Linked DNA regions of Drosophila melanogaster. The protein of the gene in region 2 purifies or fractionates together with the protein of the main gene of each other region. This does not show direct contact. Each region holds a gene or a part of one and is shown on either strand. Other genes may lie near its edges.

What was found.
Region 1: the proteins of CG17127 (region 2) and CG32264 purify together in Drosophila melanogaster (affinity purification with mass spectrometry, with the first as the bait; one large-scale study listed by BioGRID). This does not show direct contact.

What each region holds. Positions count from the first base shown.
Region 1 is NT_037436.4:3,786,190-3,790,120, reverse strand, and holds the start of CG32264 (uncharacterized protein), read left to right. Parts: upstream 1-2,160; 5' UTR 2,161-2,564; intron 2,565-3,931.
Region 2 is NT_033779.5:10,768,752-10,771,951, reverse strand, and holds CG17127 (uncharacterized protein), read right to left. Parts: upstream 1,085-3,200; 5' UTR 1,056-1,084; intron 1,022-1,055; exon of another isoform or gene 995-1,021; 5' UTR 968-994; coding exon 671-967; 3' UTR 582-670; downstream 1-581. Other genes in the region: CG6724 (uncharacterized protein), read left to right, coding at 2,219-2,277, 2,338-3,004, 3,062-3,200.

The DNA.
Region 1 (3,931 bases), on a different chromosome or scaffold from region 2:
TTAGATTGAAAATAGAAATTTTGTTTCAGTTTGGCGCCTTCTTTGCTGTTACGCTTTGCCCACTCCACAAACATTCAATTTGTCAAGTTGTTAAATTTTAGCAGCTTTTCAGCTGTGCCCCGCCCACTTTCCCAAGAGCGCCCACTTTCTTTGCTCTCGCCCATTGTTGAATGCTGTGCATTTTGCATTTTAAATACAATATAAATTAAGTTGGCAGCTTCTGGCATTGAGAACAGTTTTCGGCAAAGCTGCTGAATGAATGAATGGCAGCCCTTTTATCAAGATTCTCAAGTTAATTTTGCTGAAGGATAAGAAGTTCGGGGAAAATGGGCGGGGAAATCGAGGAAAAACTGACATTGAAGACGAATTGTTCGCTCGGAATGAAGTGGAATTTTATTCCGGTGGGTGGAAAACTTTCCTTGACGATTGAATAAAACGCTGAACTGTTGGGAGAACTCAAAAGCACAATACTATTTTAAAATAGTATTACCAAAGATGTTGGATACCATAAATGAGTTAAGCACAAACTCCATTTGTTTATAAAAATATAATGTGCAAATATGATTTCCAATTTATTTATCCATAAATAATGAAAACATTTAAACATAATATTTGAATCTTATAAATTGTCTCTTTAAATATTAAGTTCGTAAATATATTTGAACGATCATTTACAAAATTAATTTTCTTCGTATAGTTTTGGAGTCACACAAAACATCGGCGAGAAATTTCTCGCATGCGATAAACAGTAAATATTGCACTGCTTGAAGCAGTGCTTCGCAAACTTGCGGCGCCTCTCAAACTGCTATTGTTGTGCTCTCTCCCTGAAAATTTTCTCTCTTTGAATTTTCCATTCTGTTTTTCATTTGCGGACCTGCGCTTTTCATTTGCCGGCATTTCTGGAGCAACAACAAAATTCCAGCGCTGAGTTTTCCCCCTGCCATGCCCCCCTTTTCGTATTTATATATTTAGCTCTCATTAAATATTTTCAACTAGAGCGAAAGATACTTCCGTTTCCTGTTTTATAAAAATAGTACTTGCCATATATAAATATACATATTTACTATGTATATAAATATTTGTAACTATATATGAGGTAAATACTTACTTGACTTAATATAACTAACTAGAAAATAATTCAAACTCCTTATCAAATTCAAAGTAAAATTTGGGAAAATCTACCATTTAGTTCTTCTATATATTATTATATATAAGATTATACTAAAAGTTCACTTTTCCGAGCGCTCACTGTAGGGTGTTTTTGTAGTGGGCCTAAAAATAGGAGACGCCACCACTCGTGAAAATTCTTGAAGAGCAGTTTGGGAAATTCCTTACCGAAAAGTTATATATGGCCGAAAAGAGATTTGCCTTGCGCCATTGTTTAGTGAATTGAATTTTGGTTCAGTGTGTATTTGTTTTTGGAAAAACAAGGTGAAATTGCTTTTGAAGTGCGGTTGCTTCTTGTTTTTCTTTCGCTTCCCTCGAAAAGATTTTCATTTGCCGATTGCCTCATTGGATTTTGAGGTATTAAAGTTTTCGAGAGGGGAATTAGTATCGCATTATTTGGATGTTTCTGGTGCGGAATGCAAATTGATTTTCAATAGTTTTTCGACATTTTCCAGCTCGCCAGAGGAGGCGGCTTTCCACCCAAATTGGCAATTATCATCGGGTGGCGGAATTTGTGGGTGCGAAATGCAAATCAATGGGCAAATCTAATTCAATTTGAGTTCCTATAATCAACTGCTGTGAATGTGAAATGAAAGGCAGACGAAGTTCACTCGTCACTTGATTCAACGTCGTTTATTAATTTGATTTATATGACTTAATGATTAACCAAATATTTATCATATTGAAAAAGATTGACCATTTCGATTAAAAACAAAGATACAACTATATTATCTTTGTAATAATATTTCGATGCTGTTTATATAGCCACGTGTAAATACGATATGTTATCAAGAAATTTATTAATAGATATAAAATCGAGTTTGGCGCCAAATTAAATTTTGAATTTCCAGCCGCTCTCTTCTCGAGTGTGACCGCGCTGCCGACAAATGCCGCGAAACGGTGCAAATTCGGCCTTATCGGCCGCTAAGCAGCTGGCCACACTGCGGCATATAAACAATTTTTTGTCACAATTTTTTTGAGAGCAGACGAACGCACATCGAACGCCAATTGGGGATCGTAAAGTCGGAAAAACAGCGTCGCGCTCGCTTCGAAATAGAAAAAAAACACAATAAACATTAGGTCAAAATCGCATTGGCAATCTTTTAAGTTTCGATTTGATTTAATTTCGCGGTGCAAAGCGAAAGAGAATTTTGAAACGTTTGATTTTTGTTGTTTCGCCGCTCTCTTCGTTGTTGTTCTTTTTGTTGTTTTTTCCGGCGCGTCGTTTGGCGTTTTTAGTGTATGCGTGCGTGTGTGTGCGTAACTACGTGCAGCTGTGTGCGTGCTTCAGTTTGATTTAAATAAATTATTAGTGAAAAGCAGCTGAGAAGAGTAAAGAATACGAAAAAGTGCAAGTAAACGCAATAAAAATATTGCACATTAAATAATCAACAAGTGTAAGTGCAAAGCAAGTGATGTGCAAAATGCAAGAGCAGAGAAAAGAAAATAAAAGCAGAGAAAATGCAGAAAGGAAAATTGTTGTAACTTTTTAACAGCCCAATATCGAATTTAAGTGGCTATTAAAAATCGAAGATCGAGGCAAAGTGCAAAAGGCAACAAAACTACGAAAGCGCCCAAAAGGAAAATCCGGTTTTACAACTTCTCTCTTCACACACTAAACACACACATACAAAACACTCACACTCACACCAGCGAACAATCGAATTCTCTCTGAGAAACTAAAACTAAAATTCCTTTGCTGGGTTTTAATGAATTTTCTATGGGAATTTCACCAGCTAACGAGCAGCTAAAAAAATAATAATCGTAGATAAACAAATAGTGTGAATGAAAAATCAGCTGCGACAGGTGATGCAAAACAAAATACGCAAGGTGCAAAGAAAAAAAATACTTTCATGTGAATTCGATCACAGTGAACGCTCAGTAAAGAAGGAAGCTATTATCTGATCATATCATTATATTATTTAATTTAGAAAACAACTTTTAAAAATTACTTTAGATAATTAACTCATATGCTCATATCATTTGAAGTGCTAGAAAGTTTAAATAAATAGTTATCCATTTTAAAGCTCCACTGTATCTCAAGTATTTAAAAAACCATCCAGAAAAGTGAAATCAATAACAAAAGAATTTGAAAAAAGCGGAAAGAGCGGTCATAAAAATAGTATAAACAGAAAATAACAATAAACCAGTCAAAAAAATAAGCAGTTACCTGTCTCACTCTCTCTTTCCTTAATTCAAACATTTGCGTAAACAATAACCGCTTTACAGTAATTTCGGGCACCTGCTTTTTGTTTACACAAATGCATAAATATGTTGAATATGAATAAATTAATTCATTCAGCGTGTACGGGGCACGCTGCCTCGCTAAATGGAATTTTCACACGAAAAGTGGGAAATATGTGAAGAAAATATAGCGCCAACTTGTGTTATCTTATCCGTAACACAATTTTAATGATGGTGCAATTGAAAAAAATAGCAGAGAAATGTGCTACAATTGCTTCCTTATCAAAAAAGGTATTACCTGCCGGAAAGAGATAGTGGTAGTAGTGATAGGCGGGGAAAGAAAGAGATGGGTGTACGGTGTAGGAAATTACATATTTCATTATTTCCTCGCCCGATTTTTCCGACCAAATATTTTTATCTACTTACAATGTTGTCTAGACAGATTCCTTCGCTTTTCTTCCGTTTTTTTGTTGTGCCACCCATTTGTATATGTATGTACATAGATGTGTATAGGAAAAGTCTGGTAGTGGTGTGTATACTGCGAGATTTCGCACCCTCTCCTAGGATTTTCCTCTGCCGC
Region 2 (3,200 bases):
CCCTACGATCATCGGACCCACCCAGATGTTATGCAAGCAGCCCCTCTGTACCTGCGGGCATGCCACGCCCCCTCCACGTACAACTCATTACACATGCAAGTGCATGTGGCGGCAATTACCAGAAATTAAATAAACAAACCGAAGCCCAGCAAAAAGCAACAAAATACAAAATACAAAAAAAAATAAATAAAAGTCCGAGGAAAACAATCACGACGACAACTGTTGCATCACGACCGCAGCACAAAAGTTGCCGGCGGGGCAACCACTCGGGTTACCAGCGACTCCATCGCCATTCCCATCCCCGGGTTACGTAACAAGGTTGAGGATAGGATACCATGCCATGCGATAGCAATGTGCCGACTTTTATTGTTAATTCGTATGCGCAGCGGGATCAGCGAGGAGAAAGTCGGCGAAGATCGTTAGGAAAAAGCCACAAATCAAACCAATAAATCACTCGTTTCGATTCGAGAGTTCGTTTGCAGAGGAACCAACTGGTTTTCGGGGAGGATCACTTTCGCTTTTAATATTTTTTTCGGATTTTTTTTTCCAATTGTTTTGGGTGGTAAATAAACGCTGCGATTAAATACTTGTAATGTTTTCGTTTTATTAGTGAGAAACTTAACAATGAGGACGAAATGCAATGAGCTAACCAAGGAAGTGGTCCTACGACTTAGTTGCGACCGATCTGGTCGACCTGGGACTGCAGGTTGTTTATCACCTCGGAGGGCACCTGGTCGCCGAGGATCTCGAAGAGATTGATGCGCTGGTTGCCGGGTATCTGCTCGTACGCGCCCAGCTCGATGCCCTCCTGCACGTTCTGGATCTGGGCATCCTTGGGGATGAGAAGCGTCTGCTGCGCCTGCCGGATCGCCTCGTTCGTGTAGGCGGCACCCTCGCGATTCTGGGGCAGGGATTGGGCACCAGCCAGGAGCAGGGCGAGCATCGAACACAGCGCGAACACTTTCATTTTGTGGGTTTTCTCGAGGGGATTCAACTGCAAGAGATGCACGGATTCAGTGGCGCTCGATGCGGACTGGATTTGGTTATGGTCTTACCTTGCGCGCGTCGTTTGTTGTAATGTTTCGGCTGCGCAGGCGCAATGCCCGTTTTATAAGCTGAGCTGCGCCGCTGGAAGCCCCGAAAATCTGGAAAGCTTTAACTCTTTCATTTCGCTTCGTTTCTGGTTTTTTGTAAAGCCAAAATGGTGGCACAAAGTAGTAGTACCGAAAAAAAGTGTTATTACTTCCCAGCTTAATATCCCCATCGACCCATTAAGGTGAATACATTTTTTATTGGAAATTTTTTATTTTCTTGGGCATTTGTCCAATTTTGATGCGAAGGTTAAGCGCCACTTCAGAAATGTCAAGTGGCATTTAACCTTCCAGTGAACACTCGGCCGCAAAGTGGTCTTTCAGGTGCTATCTGGTTCATATTAATAGCCTGAACGTAAAATATTAACAATTACCAGTCTTTGAAGATTGAAGAGTCATTTACAAATTGCCGCCGCGGCTGTGCATTTTTTGGTTTCTTATTTTTCCATTTTGCGTAAGACGATCAAAAGGAAGAGAAGCAGTTAGTGGCTAAATTACAGCAAATCATCTGCGCCTGATTTGCTTGCAAAAAATATTTAATTATCAGTATTGCGAATTGGCTCGTATCTCTGTAAGATTTTTTTGTAATAAAAAAAAGGAGAAACGACAAAGCAGTGGTTATGCAATCAGCGGTTTTTCGAATTTGATGAGTAATATTTTAGAGAAACAAAATCAAAGTGATTAGAAATACCATACACTCTATTAATATCTTTTTATTTGTTAAAGTAATCGGCAAATTACACTTAAGCAAGCTATTATAATTATGCATAGTTTTAACGCACCAAAAAATTTGAATTTAAAAACTCCGCTTAGTAGTAACGGGTGATAACAAGACGATAAGGCATTTCGATAAGAGCACAGCGATAGCAATGCGATAACTCTTATTCCGGCATGCGCTTCGGCGTTTTTTAGTGTTTTTGCATGTATTTGTTGCATTTACCATCGTTCGTTTAAAAACACGCTTCTTTTCAATTTAATTTTACACAACGATCTCCCGAAGGAAGAACCTCTAGTTTAGTGGTCAACACCTTGTACCACCTGCAGGAGTTAAGTCATAACCGTAGCAAACACACGCGGGAACACCCCAATCCCAATCCAGCCAAAAAGAAACGCACGTGGGCCAGGAGATGGATGTGGATAACGGCGAGGGGCAGGTGCAGGTGCACCTGAAGACCAAGCAGGAGCAGTGAGTGTCCATCTAGAATCTCTATCAGTAGAAGATTTTAATCAAGATACCCTATTTCAGCTATGCCGTGCCTGATGTGCCCTATGCCATCGATGGCACCGTCACCACCGTGGAGCTAAACACATTCGTGAACGCACTGTTGCGTCAAAAAGATGGCTCTTCCGACACGGACTTCGACTTCCTGGTGTTCGATGAGTACCTGCGTGGCCGGCTGTGCGATCACCTGCGCGAGAAAGCCATCAGTTTCGAGGACGCCATCGAGATCGAGTATGTGGAGCGGTTCCCGGCGCCAGAGCCACAGGATTGCCTGCTGCACGACGACTGGGTGTCCGCGGTGAAGGCTAGAGGAAAGTGGATCCTCTCCGGGTGCTACGACAACACCCTGAATTTGTGGACCAACAAAGGCAAGCACATTCTCACTATTTCTGGTCACACGGCGCCCATCAAGGCGGTGGACTGGATATCGCTGGACGAGGAGACGGGACGTTTTGTGTCCACATCGCAGGATCAGACCGCCATGCTGTGGCAGTGGAACGTGGGCTCCAACTCGGTGGAATGTGTCTCCGTGTGCAAGGGCCACGAGCGAGGCGTCGACAGTGTCAGCGTGAGTCCGGATGGTCTGAGATTTGCCACGGGCTCTTGGGACACGATGTTGAAGGTGTGGTCAGCAGAGCTGGACGATGCAGTCGAGGGCAGCTCAAAGCGGATGAAAGAGAGCGGTGTGAGAGTGAGTAGTCTTGCCATTTATAATTAGACTTGTAATCAGCTTTACAATTCCTTTCAGACCCCCAAAATTACGCTGCAGGGACATCGTGAGAGCGTATCAGCCGTGCAGTGGATGGATGCTACCACTCTGCTAACTGGCAGCTGGGATCACACACTCAAGGTGTGGGATCTGAGTCTTGAGGGCATCAAGACCGAAA